Stegostoma tigrinum: one gene and its partner. The protein of the gene in region 1 purifies or fractionates together with the protein of each later gene. This does not show direct contact. Links are inferred from orthologs where the notes say so. Each region holds a gene or a part of one and is shown in the gene's direction. Other genes may lie near its edges.

What was found.
Region 2: the proteins of setdb1b (region 1) and activating transcription factor 7-interacting protein 1-like purify together in Homo sapiens (affinity purification with mass spectrometry; 6 studies listed by BioGRID and IntAct, counting the BioPlex papers as one, with this or other methods). This does not show direct contact. The link is inferred for Stegostoma tigrinum from reciprocal best matches to the Homo sapiens genes SETDB1 and ATF7IP.

The regions. Positions count from the first base shown.
Region 1 is NC_081400.1:5,506,657-5,514,603, forward strand, and holds the start of setdb1b (histone-lysine N-methyltransferase SETDB1-B), read left to right. Parts: upstream 1-4,919; 5' UTR 4,920-5,157; intron 5,158-7,947. UniProt on the Homo sapiens protein: Histone methyltransferase that specifically trimethylates 'Lys-9' of histone H3. H3 'Lys-9' trimethylation represents a specific tag for epigenetic transcriptional repression by recruiting HP1 (CBX1, CBX3 and/or CBX5) proteins to methylated histones.
Region 2 is NC_081391.1:8,934,989-8,942,358, forward strand, and holds the start of activating transcription factor 7-interacting protein 1-like, read left to right. Parts: upstream 1-4,338; 5' UTR 4,339-4,880; intron 4,881-7,370. UniProt on the Homo sapiens protein: Recruiter that couples transcriptional factors to general transcription apparatus and thereby modulates transcription regulation and chromatin formation. Can both act as an activator or a repressor depending on the context.

The DNA.
Region 1 (7,947 bases):
GGGCACTACGGGACAATTTAGCAGGGCCAATCCACCCTAACCCGCACATCCCTGGGCACTACGGGACAATTTAGCATGGCCAATCCACCCTAACCCACACATCCCTGGGCACTACGGGACAATTTAGCACGGCCAATCCACCCTAACCCACACATCCCTGGGCACTACGAGACAATTTAGCACGGGCAATCCACCCCTAACCCGCACATCCCTGGGCACTATGGGACAATTTAGCACGGCCAATCCACCCCTAACCCACACATCCCTGGGCACTATGGGACAATTTAGCACGGCCAATCCACCCTAACCCGCACATCCCTGGGCACTACGGGACAATTTAGCACGTCCAATCCACCCTAACCCGCACATCCCTGGGCACTACGGGACAATTTAGCATGGCCAACCCACCCTAACCTGCACACCTTTGGACTGTGGGAGGAAACCGGAGCACCCGGAGGAAACCCACGCAGACACGGGGAGAATGTGCAAACTCCACACAGACAGTCGCCCGAGGGTGGAATCGAACGCAGGTCCCTGGCGCCGTGAAGCAGCAGCGCTAACCACTGAGACACCGGGTCACCAAGTTTCCTTCCCCTTTTTTAAGCTGATGTGAAGAGCACTGTATTTTGTTTGAATATATTTGACAATAAATGATTCAATTCAATTATTGTGAGTAGCTGAAGGGGCATGAAGCAGGATTCTTTATCCCAAGGGCATCAGATCTGATTTGGATTGATTTATTGTTGTCGCTTGTACCTAGGCACAGTGAAAAGTTGTGTTTTGCGAGCAGCACAGGCAGATCATACCACACAATGATCATCGGGTGACAGATCAGGGTGAGATATACGATGTAGTGGTTACAGAGGAGGTGCACAAAGAGCGAGATCAACATTTGAATTTTGGGAGGTCCACTTAGAAGTCTGATAACAGCAGGGAGAAAGCCCTCCTTGAATCTGTTAGTATGTGTATTTAAGCTTTTGTATCTTCTGCCCTCGTGGTGTTATTGCTAGACTATTAATCCAAGAGACCGAGGTGATGTTCAGGGGATCCAGGTTCGAATCCCACGACGGCAGATGGTGGAATTTGAATTCAATCAAAACAAAATCTGCAATTAAGAGCTACCGAAGACCGTAAATCTGTGGCTGAATGTCGGAAAATCCCATCTGGTTCACTGATGTCCTTCAGGGAAGGGAATCTGCCCTCCTTACCTGGTCTGGCCTACATGTGACTCCAGACCTACAGCACTATGGTTGACTCCCAGTTGCCCTCTGAAATGGCCAAGCAAGCCAATCAGCTCTACCAATCGCTACAAAGTCTCAACGAAATGAAACTGGTCGGATCACCTGGCATGGCACTGTAAAGGAAAATGGCAGAAACAGCCCTGTCGACCCTGCGAAGCCCTCCTCACTAACATCTGGGGGTTAGTGCCAACACTGGGAGGGCTGTCTCACAGACTAGTCAAGCAACCGTCTGACATAGTCACATTCACAGAATCACACCTTACAGACACTGTCCCAGACACCACCATCACCATCCCTGGGTATGTCCTGTCCGCCACCCGGCAGAACAGACCCAGCAGAGGGGGCCGCACAGTGGGATACAGTTGGGAGGCAGTTGCTCTGGGAGTCCTCGACATTGACTCCGGACGACATGAAGTCTCATGGCTTCAGGTTTAACACGGGCAAGGGAACCTCCTGCTGGTTACCACATACCGTCCTCCCCCAGTTGATGAATCGGTACGCCCTCCATGTTGAATATCACTTAGAGGAAGCACTGAGGATGGCAAGGGCACAAAATGTACTCTGGGTGGGGGACTTCACTGTCCACCACCAAGAGAGGCTCGGCAGCTGTCCTACTGATCGGGCTGGTCGGGTCCTAAAGGACACAGCTGCTAGGCTGGGTCTGCAGCAGGTGGTGAGGGAACCAACAAGAGGGGAAACACATATTTGACCTCATCCTTACCAATCTGCCAGCTGCAGAGGCATCTGCCCATGACAGTATCGGTAAGAGTGACCATCTCACAGTCCTTGTGGAGACAGAGTCCCGCCTTCACATTGAGAATAACCTCCATTGTGTGTGTGGCACTATCCCCGTGCTCAATGGGACAGACTTCACACAGATCTCGCAAATCAGGACTCGGCATCCCTGAGACGCTGTGGGCCATCAACAGCAGCAGAATTGTACTCCTGCACAATCTGTAACCTCACAACCTGGTGTATCCCCCACCCAACCATTACCATCAAGCCAGGGGATCGACCCTGGTTCAAAGGAGAGTGCAGGAGGGTATGCCAGGAGCAGCACCAGGCAGACCTGAAGGTGAGGGATCAATCTGGTGAAGCCACCAGACAGGACTACTTGCACACCAAACAGCGAAAGCAGCAAGTGAGAGACACAGCCTAGCGATCCCACAGCCAACAGATCAGGTCTAAGCTCTGCAGTCCTGCCACATCCAGTGGCGAATGGTGGGGGTCAATTAAACAACTCACCGAGGGATGGGGCTCTGCAAATATCCCCGTCCTCAATGATGGAAGAGCCCAGCACATCAGTGCAAAAAGTAAGGCTGGAGCTTTCGCAGCAATCTTCAGCCAGAAGTGCCGATCTATCTCGGCCTCCTGCAGTGGTCCCCAGTGTCACGGATACCAGTCTTCAGCCAATTCGATTCACTCCACGCGATGTCAAGAAACGGTTGGAGACACTGGATACTGCAAAGGCCACAGGCCCGGAGAGCATTCCGGCAATAGGACTGAAGACTTGTGCTCCAGAACTTGCCGCTCCCCTACCCAAGCTGTTCCAGTGCAGCTACAACCCTGGCATCTACCTGGCAATGTGGAAAATTGCCCAAGTATGTCCTGGACACAAAGAGCAGGACCAATCCAGCCTGGCCCTTTACTGCCCCATCAGTCTCGATCATCATGAAAGTGATGGAAGGTGTCAGTAACAGCGCTATCAAACAGTACATGCTCAGCAGTAACCTGCTCAGTGACATCCAGTTTGGGTTTCGCCAGGGCCACTCAGCTTCTGACCCCATTACATCCTCGGTTCAAACATGGACCAAAGAGCTGAATCGCAGAGGTGAGGTGAGAGTGACAGCCCTTGACATCAAGGCTGCATTCGACTGAGTGTGGCATCAAGGAGCCCTAGAACTGGAATCAATGGGTATCAGGGGCAAACTCTCCAGTGTTTGGAGTCTTAGGTGACACATAGGAAGATGGTCGTGGTTGTGGGAGGTCAGTCATCTCAGCTCCAGGACACCTCTGCAGGAGTTCCTCAGGGTAGTGTCCTCAGCCCAACCATCTTCAGCTGTTTCATCAACGGCCTTCCCTCCATCATAAGGTCAGAAGTGGGGATGTTCGCCGATGATTGCACAATGTTCAGCACCACTCGTGACTCCTCAGGTACTGAAGCAGGCCATGTTCAAATCCAACAAGATTTGGACAATATCCAGGCTTGGGCTGACAAGTGGCAAGTAACGTTCATGCCAGCCAAATGCCAGGCTATGACCATCACCAATAACAGACAATTGTCCCTTGACATTCAATGGTGTTTCCAACACTGAATCCCCCACTATGATTGATCAGAAACTCAACTGGACTGACTACATAAACACAATGGCTACAACAGCAGGCCAGAAGTGTTACTGCGGTGAGTAACACACTTCCTGATTCCCCAAAGTCTGTCAACCTTCTCCAAGGCACAGGTCAGGAGTGTATCAGAGATTATGGGAACTGCAGATGCTGGAGAATCTGAGATAACAAAGTGTGGAGCTGGATGAACACAGCAGGCCAAGCAGCATCTTAGGAGCACAAAAGCTGACGTTTCAGGCCTAGACCCTTCTCAGAGAGGGGGATGGAGGGTCTCTGATGAAACATCAGCTCTCCTGCTCCTAAGATGCTGCTTGGCCTGCTGTGTTCATCCAGCTCCACACCTTGTTATCTTGGCGTCTTTGATGACGTTGGTTGCATTTATCGTTACAAACGTGAGGCTAAGCCAGAAAATTGGCGTAGTTTGAAGAATTAAGCACGTGCTTGAGGTTTGGTTGAGGAAATCCATGATTGGTTTGACTGCTCCAGCTGCCCCACTCGGTGCCCAGACTCACCGTCGCCAACTGGAGCTGGAGGTCCCAATTACGTGAAGAAAGGCCTTGTCTCTGTGATCAGAGCCTGGGAATCGATGATCTAGCCGAGCGAGGTCAGAGGTTTTGCTGCACTGAAAATAGCTGGGTGTGGACCACCTGCTGGTTCATGCAGATGGCCATTCGGCCCTTCCAAACTTCTACCCCACTCCACAACAGGGTGACCATTGTCACTGGCCAGCCCATGTCTCTGCCCATCCATTGGTAGAAGGTCCTATTATTGAGCTGGATGGGCGGGACTGCAAATGTTCCAAAAGCCGATTGGCCGGCTTATCAGTCGATCAGGAAGAATTGCCAATCATTACGGAGGGGCTTGGAGATGGTTGGGCGAGCGAAACGTCAATTACAAATGGGCGGCATAATCGGCGGTGACTGTTACCCTTCCATCTTCCCATTGGCAGGGGAGGACGTCGATAAACGGGTTGGTATGCGCGGGAGTCCAGTGGCGTTCTCCGTCTGGGAAGACAACCGCTCGATTGGCTGCTTCCATGTCGATCGCGGCTGATAAGGTGGGACCACATGCGATTGGTCAAGACTCCAGCATTTCGATGCCCATGTGGGTGGGTCCTCATCGCATTGGACAAGACCACCGTCGATCAGGAGGAGAGGAGGCTGGACCCCATTTGACTCATCTAGACATCGGTCAATCAGACGCTGCGGGGGTGGGGCCTCATTCAATTGGGCCGCGTGCCCGTCACTCGCGGACCGTGGGGGGCGGGGCCGGCACCGATTGGCCGCGGTCCCCGTCAATCCGGTTGGCCGGCAGCGACGTTGGCCAATCCCCGTTCAAGGTGGGTCGCAGCCCGGCGTGTTTGGGCGACTCACCAGCAGCCGTCTTTTCAAAACATCCTTTCACTCGGGGGCCTGGGAGGCGGCGGAACGGTGATGCACTTCAATTAAAACCATGTAGCCTTTCCACCGCAATTTGCAAAGTCACACAGAGCGAGCGAGCCTGTTAAAGAAATTTAGAGAAGCCGCGGCCTAGTGGTTAGGCGCTAGGCCCAGCCTCACGGCTGCAGGAGAAGGTGAGATGCTCGGATTGTTTTCTTATTGTTTGTCTCCTGCAGGTTGGTGCGGAGGTTCGCTCGTCGTCTTCTTTAGACTCCACGTTCCCGCACTGCGGCCGGGTGTTTCTGCCTCCCGGAGCCTTTAATCTTCCCATTTTTTTTCTTTCACTTTTTTTTCAAAATTGCCTCGGAGAGCCGTCCACTGGAGTAGTGCGGCTGCGCGAAAGGGCCGTGCGCTGCTGCACCGCGCGTGAGTATGCGCGTTGACCCCGCGGAGCATGCTGGGGATTGTAGTTCCTGGCTCCCCCTTTTTCTCTCTCTCTCTCTCTCTCTCTCTCTCTCTCTCTCTCTCTCTCTCTCTCTCTCTCTCTCTCTCTCTCTCTCTCTCTCTCTCTCTCTCTCTCTCTGTGTCTGTCTGTCTCTTTCTTTCCCTCTCTCTCTCTGTCTCTTTTTTGTTTCCCCTTTTTCCCCCAAATCCTCCCTTTCACCAAATCCCCCCACCCCCCTCTACTGTGGCTCGAGGAATCAGCCCTATGTAATATTGCCTGTGAATAACCCAATTCCTGAGAAAAAGGTCAGAATGTGTAAGAATCTTAGGATCCCTACAGTGTGGAAACAGACCATTCAGGCCAACAAGTCCACACTGCCCCTCCAAAGAGCATCCCACCTAGACCCAATCCCCTGCCCTGCATCTCCCATGTCTAACTTATGTCACCTAAACTTCCCCAGGCACTATGGGCAATTTAGCACGGCCAATCCACCCTAAACTGCACGTCTTTGGACCTGTGGGAGGGAGCTGGAGCGCCCGGAGGAAACCCCACGCAGACACGGGGAGAACGTGCAAACTCCGCACAGACAGTCGCCCGATGTTGGAATCGAACCTGGTTCCCTGGCACCGTGAGGCAGCAGTGCTAACCACTGAGCCACCGTGCTGCCCATATGAGCACCATGCCACTGGGTGGTCTCGAGCCACCAATTTTAGTTTCAAGCTAGGCCATTTCAGATCCACCTGTTATTGTGGTGCATTCACTAGTTTTTGGGCCTGACTAAACAGATTCTGCCCTGGGAAATGTTGAAATAGGAGCTTGAGTGGTTATATCTGACCCAGCAAGCCTGTTCAATTGTCCCTTCCTATTTCCTTTGTCACTTATTGTCTCGAAGAAACTTCTTTGCCTTAAATACATTCAGTGACTCCACAGTCTCAAATCATAGAAAATTCTGCCACATTATCAGTGAAGAAATTTCTCACCTCTGTATGAAAGCAGCAGCTCGGTGCCGCAATGGTTAGACAATAGACAATAGGTGCTGGAGTAGGCCATTCGGCCCTTCGAGCCAGCACCACCATTCATTATGATCATGGCTGATCATCCACAATCAGTATCCTGTTCCTGCCTTACCCCCGTAACCCTTGATTCCACTATCTTTAAGAGCTCTATCCATCTCTTTCTTGAAAGCGTCCAGAGAGTTGGCCTCCACTGCCTTCTGGGGCAGAGCATTCCATATATCCACCACTGTCTGGGTGAAGAAGTTTTTCCTCAACTCTTGTTCTAAATGGCCTACCCCTTATTTTTAAACTGCGTCCTCTAGTCCTGGACTCACCCATCAGCGGAAACATGCTCCCTGCCTCCACAGTGTCCAATCCCTTAGTAATCTTCCACGTCTCAATCAGATCCCCTCTCATCCTCCTAAACTCAAGTGTATGCAAGCCCAGTCGCTCCAATCTTTCAACATATGATAGTCCCGCCATTCTCGGAATTGACCTCGTGAACCTATGCTGCCCTCCGTTAATAGCAAGAATGTCCTTCCTCAAATTGGGAGACCAAAACTGCACACAATACTCCAGGTGCGGTCTCACCAGGGCCCTGTAGAGCTGCAGAAGGACCTCTTTGCTCCTATACTCAATTCCTCTTGTTATGAAGGCCAGCATGCTATTAGCTTTCTTCACTGCCTGCTGTACCTGCATGCTTGCTTTCATTGACTGATGCACAAGAACACCTAGATCTCGTTCTGCTTCCCCTTTACCATCTCAATGGAGTCAAGTTAGGTAATCTGCCTTCCGGTTCTTGCCACCAAAGTTTATAACCGCACATTTATCCAAATTAAACTGCATCTGCCATGCATCCGTCCACTCACCTAGCCTGTCCAAGTCACCCTGTATTCTCATAACATCCTCCTCACATTTCACACTGCCACCCAACTTTGTGTCATCAACAAATTTGCTAATATTACTTCTAATGCCTTCGTGTATATCATTAATGTATATCGTAAACAGCTGCGGTCCCAGCACTGAACCTTGTGGAATGCCACTGGTCACTGCCTGCCATTCCGAAAGGGACCCGTTTATCACTCCTCTTTGCTTCCTGTCAGCCAGCCAATGTTCAATCCAACTCTATTTTGCCCCCAATACCATGTGCCCTAATTTTGTTCACCAATCTCCTATGCGGGACTTTATCAAAGGCTTTCTGAAAGTCCAGGTACACGACATCCACTGGCTCTCCCTTATCCATCTTCATAGATACATCCTCAAAAAATTCCAGAAGATTAGTCAAGCATGATTTCCCCTTCGTAAATCCATGCTGACTCTGACTTATTCTGTTACTGCTATCCAAATGAGTTGTAATTTCATCTTTTATAATTGACTCCAGCACCTTTCCCACCACTGACGTCCGGCTAACCGGTCTGTAATTTCCTGTTTTCTCTCTCCCTCCTTTCTTGAAAAGTGGGACAACATTTGCCACCCTCCAATCCACAGGAACTGATCCTGAATCTATAGAACCTTGGAAAATAATTACCAATGCGTCCACAATT
Region 2 (7,370 bases), on another chromosome or scaffold:
GCGGGAATGAAGCTAGTACAGGAGTTGGATGGGGGTTGGTCAAGTGTAGGTAAGGAGTTGGGAAAGTGTTAGTGTGTGCTGGTTTCTTTGGAAAATTGATATATACATATGTTTTTGTAATTCAACTGTTTCTCAATAACCTCTGCATCTATTTTGAGTATGTTTGTTTTGATAATAACTCAATCATTTGTTGCAGACTTGAAATAACTGCCCAAAGGCCAGTATACCATCACCAAGTCACACTTTATTTACATGTGCACAGTACATGAGCTCTGACCAATCAGCTCAAAGCCAATCCCTTGACTAATGAGACCTGAATCTCCTGTTGAGATCTGTCAGGCAGGGCTCCCTGAGTAGCCCAGGTTAATGGCCCCAATCAAGGATCTCATAGCCAACGTGATCCAACTGGCCCCAGTTCCAATCACTACAAGATCAAATAATTCTGATTTGCTCTTAATACTGAACCTGACACATTCCAAGAAAAATATACTTGACCAAATCACCAACTTGGTTAAATTTGAATTTTATGATGAAGTTTGGAGGAATGGGACTCGGAAGTGATCACTAAACACGTCCAACCTTAGTTATAACAACATTGTGCGACATTATGTGAGGAGAAAGAGGCTGAATGTTCTGTGTGGGGTAAGGCTGATTATCATGTGTGGATGTGATGTGCAGCTGACTACAATGTGCATGGGCAGAACAAGAGGCTGAATAAACTGTTTGGAGCGAAGATGACTATAGTGCATATGCGGGTTTAAGAGGAAAGGGGCCGATAATAGTGTGTGCTGGGGAATGGGGACAGGGCCTGATGGCAATGAGTGGTAGGGGAGAGCATGCCTAATTACAGTGGGGGGGGGGGTTCTCTGTGGGTGGGAGAATAGCTGATTGCTGTGTGAGTTAGGAAGAGAAGGGCTGCTTACTGCGTGTGTGTGTTTGGGTGGATGTGGGAAGGGGGAGAAGGGCTGTGTTTGTCAAAGTTGCTTCACAGAGCCTTCTGCCAGAGTCCAGAGAATATGGAAAGTTTTGTTGAAACTTCAGTGACCAGTAACTGTTGCATTGTATATTCTTTATCAATTCAGAAGCACATCCATTTTCCATTTTCTCCATGTTGGAAGAAGCACAGCTCCACATTTAGTTAAGTTACTTACCTTGTGAATTAAATTCATTTTGATTTACGACTGCATTGTGTGCAGCAAATTCAAACTGAATCTGCAGCATCCATGGATATTATTTTGTGTCATTTGAAATTCTCAGTGGAAAATCCAAAGTTTATCTGACTTGCTTATAATGATTGACAGTATATAACAGCATTTTCATAAAATACTTTTATAAACAGATGCTCGTATTTGTAGGATGTATAATATTTTGATGTTTAATACATAAACATTCATAGTTATATACTGAACAATGCCTTATTGCCATACATACAATACACAGACAAGTATAAAATAAAACAGAACTGAGGAAGCTGGAGATCTGAAATGAAAACAGAAATTGCGGGCAAATTTCTGCAGGTCTGCTATCATCTGTGGGGTGATAGCACACTTAATATTTTATGTCCAATGACTCTTCAGTTCCATATTCTCTGGTGGCAGAATGCTCTGTGAGGCTATTTTGACAAATACAATTCCTATCCCCCTCCCCACACCTCACCCATACACACAAAGTAACCAACCCCTTTGTTATTTTTCCCCCAACTCACACTATAATCAGCTACTGCCTCTCCCTCAGACCACTTTTCCCATTCCCATCCTCCACAGTCTTCCCCATCACTCATTGCCATCAGGCCCTCTTCCCAGCATCTGCAGTTCTTTATTTTATTTATGATTCCTTTGAATATCAGTGGTCTTTCCGGAAACGTGCAATTTGATTTCTCAATTACATTGAGGCACGTGGGATGTTCCTTGAATCCACTGGACCCCCTAATGGAATAGTTGTCAATTTTTTTTGGCGAAGGACATCTTTTGATGTGGATTAACGGTCAGTTCCCAATTAAATTGGAGTACAGTATGGCATGAAGGTACAGCCTTTAAAGAGTGTTCTATGTTTAAGAAAAAGATATTTACTTATGGATGAAGGTGAGATTGTTTCCCTTGTTTCTCATCACCAGGTCTGCCTATGCTTAATGAGATGTTTGACGATGACATTTGTTAATCATTCTCCAATTTCTATTCCACCTTGTAGAATCAGAAATCATTAAGCTACTGAGAACTGCGAAAGCCTATCCCAATAAAGGCTAACTGTGTTTCTCTCCACAGAAGACCACAGCAACTGGCTTTGCTGCGCTGTAACATTTCCAGGTGCAAGACATCAATGTACCCTCACAGCCTGTGTTGTAACTGCAGACTAGTCCATTGTCAAGACGGCTTCTTTAGACACTCGGTATTATAAAACAGACAATTTTCTATTGTCTCAGCTGTGCATCCAGTTTATTTTGCTGCCATTCAGGAGAACAGGAAAGATCTTGTGGAAAAATAATATTTAAGAAATTATCTCCTACTTTTTATTGGATGTGGGTCAATTGGTCATTATCAGCCAGTCTGACAGCATTCAAAATATTTTCACAGGAGTAGGATGCAAGCTCGAAGTGAGAAAGTCCTTGAGAGTGATGGGCTGTCATTGGTTTGCAGACAATTATCAATAATACCCCACATACTCGGAAATAGTCGCCAATAACTGAAGTGATTGTCATCAAATTGCTGCATGTTTCTAGCTGCAACTCATTTGTTTCACTGATTCCACCAAATAGTATCTCCCAGTGATCCACTCGTCCTTGTTTAAGAATGACTGTTTTATCCATCGTTAATATTTATTGTGGTATCATCTGACCTCTCTTTAAGAAAGTACACATTATCTCCGCCCACCCTCTTCCTCTTAGTATATTGTGAAAATTTTTGGTGCTATCCTTGACAAGCCTTGCAATTGATTTGCACTTCTTTTTCAATCTCTTATTTTGTATCCTTTTGATATTCTATTTCTCCCAGGCTGGGCGACAGAATGATAGAAGGTTACATGATGAAGAATTGCATCATTACTGGCTAGTCAGTTAGTTCCACCACATGGCTGTTCCTCATAGGTGGCAATTATGTTCCCACCACCACCAAAAATTATCTAATTATCTTTTGAAGACTTGACTTTGATCTGCTCGACAACACTTTGAGGCATTGCAGTCTAAGAGTCTAATCACACAAAGTGTCTTATTTAAAAAAAGCTTTTCCACATGGCACTGTTGTTACTTAACTCTCAGTTGGCACCCTTGGGTTCTCAATCCTCGTACCAGATGGTTGGAAGTTTCTACATATAAAACCATAGGACTCTGACAGAGTGGAAATCTACCCTGTCCAAATCCCTCATGAACACCTTCATCAAAGTTCCTCTCAACCTGCAGCCCCAGATTCTACAATCTATCCACTAATCTTATTCATGAAAAAATTAAAAAGAACTCTGAAAACAAAACTTGCTGGTGAAACTCAGCACGTCTGGCAGCATTCGCGAAAGACAACAGTTTTGAGTCTAGTGACCCTTCTCCAGAAAGGTCTGAAGGTTCTGAGTTCCTCCAGCAATTTCTTTTCTGCTGTGATTCCGATCTCCGAATTTTTAAAAAAAGTCTTAACGTCCCGGCTATTGGAGAGCGACGTTATTAAATGTAGCTTATGTTTTCAAAAATACCTGTATTTAAGACTGTGTTTTTATCACAGTTAAACAGTTGCAAGATATTTAAAGTTAAAACATCCAAAGGTTAGCCGAAAGATGTTTTTGGAGGGTGCGTAGCTCTCTCCGAAGTAGTCAGGATTGGTATTTGAAACATGTTCAATCTGTCCAGTCAGGAGTTCTCGCGTACTCCTGCTGTCAGAAGCGCCTTTGTACTCAACAGCGACACTGGCGGTCAGTCATAGAAGCGACGAAGGGTGGGAAAAAGAATTGCAAGCGACCGTCGCTGCTGACAGAGCAAGCGATGCAGGCGTTTATTTAACACCAGTACAATGGGTTGTCGAAGTGCATTCTTTTTGGAATGCAGTGTTCGAGGAACCACTTCTTTTCCGACGAGAACACTTTCTATTTAAAGAAAATACAAAAGGGATTTCAATCTTATAGAAGCTACTCGAAAACTTCATAAATGCACAGTTTCCAAAGGGCTATTTTGAAAACAACACGAACCGCGACGACGTCGACGACCAGTACGATCACCAACCCCACCCACCCAATCTAAAGGAGACTAAATCAACAACGAACGTAACCGTCTGCTTCGCTGCGCCAACGGATGGGTTTTGAAAAAACGACGGCGGTTATGCAAATGACCGTCCGTAATATTTACATACGCCCCGCCCACCGCCTGCTTCGGGTGCGCCGGGCGAGTGCGGCTCCCTGTTTTGCATATAGGCACCCGCGATTTGCATGTAACACCCCCGCGCTGGCTGCTGATTGGTAGCCACGTTCTTAATGGCATGTATGCGGGTGTTGTTATCTGCATATTCATCTCGCTCTCGAGATGGGGCGAGAATGAGCTGCCGCCCTTAAGTGGTGCGCGGGGAGAGCGAGCAACTCCAGTGGAGGGAGACGAAGGAGGGAGAGTAGAGATCACACTGCTGTATTACTTTATCTTCCACACACACAAAAATACATAATTACGCGCTTTGAAAAGATGTAAAAATCACGGGGGGAGGTTTTGAAGTGAGATGTACCCGGAATGCGTTTTTTGCTTAATTTGCATATGAGCGATATTTTACTAATTTGCATACACTCCACGAACGGCCGCCATTTTGTGACGGGGTGGGTGTGAGGTTATCGTGGATAAGCGGTGAAGGTTTTTAACAGGGTGGGATAAAACAAACCAAAAAAAACTCCTCATGAAACGACGCCTTAACGCATCCGAAAAGGTAAGCGATTCGTTACATTTATATGGACCTGTTTTATTTTTTCCCCAGGTGTGTCGACCGATTTTTAATTGCGGTTTTGCATTTATTTGCTCTCCCTTTCCTATGGAGCGCCTTCAACCCCTGCGGGTCGGCTCCGTGGCTGCGCCTGCGCGGCAGCAGCAGCAGCAGCACTGGAGCTGCATGGCTGCTGCACGAGTCCACCAGTGCATTGCGCATGCGTGCGGTGCTCCAGGCGGACCAGTAGACACACGCACACGCTTAAAGCCCCGGTTTTTGCGGGAGCGTCTTCCCCACTCATCTCCCTTTCCCCCTTTTTCCTACTGCTCCCTCTCTCTCTCTTTTATGAAGTGGAAACTGCGTTGGAAACTTTAGGTTAAGGTAAGATTTAATCTGGTTCTTTAAATCTCCAATTTTTAAATTTTTTAGTTTTTTTTTACTAAAACTTTGCATTTAATCATGTAGCTGATTTTTTTTGTTTTATATTTGCTCGTTTTGATTTTTCTTTTTGCTTTTGCCTGCCTCTCTCAATTCAATCTGAGGATGAGCTGAATGCAAATGAGCTTGAGCAGTATCTGCCTGCTGCATTGCTGTAGGATTTTTTTTGCTGCATGAATGTTTAGCTTCAGCAGACTGTTGCAAGTTATCACCCCACTTCTTACCTACTCTAGAATGTGTGTGAACAGGTGGTAGTTCTAATTTTGTAATTTTTGTTGCACTGTTTGATGCAATGCAATTATATCAATTGTATATTTTAAGTAATAATGTGAAATTGAGTGGGATCCAGTTTGGTGGTGTTTTTGTTTTTGAATAAATATCAAAGAAACATTCAAGCTAATAAATTTGTCGCTATCCTTGATTTATGCTGCATGTGAAAATTCTGAACAAACTGGAAATGTATGCTTGAAACACAATTTGTGCGCCTAGTTCTACTATGGGTCAACTGAGAGATGACCACTGTCATGTGATCCTTTTGTACATTTTTAACAATAAAGTCATCAATGAATTCTGTACTGATTTTGTTGATATTTGACACTGCACCTAGATTGTTAATTTTCCATTGTGTGCCCTATGACTTGGTATAGTGTGTATCTGTAATGTAGACAACACTAAACTTTGTTCTCTTCATGTCGTATTGAATATTTATGTAGCTGACATGACTTTAATCCCTGTTCAGTAAACTTTTGGCAAATCATCTACAACGGATTGGTCCTGCCCTTTCAAGTGGCAAATTCTTCCTTTTTTGATACTGTGAACAGTGATACTGGACAATAAGCTCTTTGTTTCTTTCTCAAAGCTCCTTTAGCCTTTTATGACATGTATAAAAATGATATCTCAAGTGAGATGTGGGAATGGAAGGGTTCTGCTTGTGATTTTTGTAAGGAAAACAAATAAAGTGTCTTGCTTTACGATGAAAAAGAATGAGAGCTTAGTGCTATAAACTCAACTCAAAACCAAAAGAAAATGCATAAGTATCTCCATCAGTTAGTACCTGGGGGAAAAAATGATTCTTACAGAATAAAATCTACTCTAAATAGGAATAGGCCATTTAGTCTCTTTTTAGTCTACACTGCTACTCATTAACATAATGGATGATCATCGTGCTTGACTCCACCTTCCTGTGCTGGTCACATCCTTTAAGTAGCCAAAAATAGATTGGCTTTTGTCTTGGGTATATGTGGCCGTGTTTAATGTTCAACTTTCAAATGGATTGCTGCCTGTTTTCAGATAGTAATTAGAATAATTGTTTGACACACTTTTCCTGTACTGGTTGAATGCTTTCCAAGCTGAATCGAATATTCTTCATTTCGGGTCACCTGAATGTAAATAGCTTATATCTTTGCAGGCTCTGACCGAGTGTTTCTAACTCTCTCTTTCAGTTTTCCAGCATTTGCTTTTTGACTACTCCAACCTTATTTGAAAAATGCAATTCTTAAAACACGTGTGTTTGTTAAATATACTTAAATGGTTTTTTTTTTGTATTAATCCCCGTGATAACATCAAGGTAGGTCATCACACTGAATTCAATAAATCTGGAAGTTTGTAGAATTGGCCCAGAAAACCTTGAAGACTACAGAATTGGTAAAAGCCCATCTGGCACACTAATGTGCTTTTAAACATTGTGACAATACAGAATGTTTAATTATGTAAGGAATTTCAATGTTTGTCTTCACGTTTTGAGTGTTTTTGAAATTTTTTTTAAAAATTGAACCAGTAGTAGAGGCTGAAAGAGTTGTGTAAAAAATCAACGAAATTGAACACTTCCATTGAAGGAACTTGCATAACATCTACTGCAGCACAAGACAATGCTAGATATTTGGCACATCTGTAAATATACATGCTCCGTCTTGCATCAGAAGTCCTTGATTTGTTTGGTGCCTTGCTACAATAGTGAATTTCGAAATGACATTCACATGAATTTTCTGTCTCAGTTTGGGACAAAAATAATACTACTGCTCGCAACTTTTAAAAATTTTTATTTTGAAAAAAGGC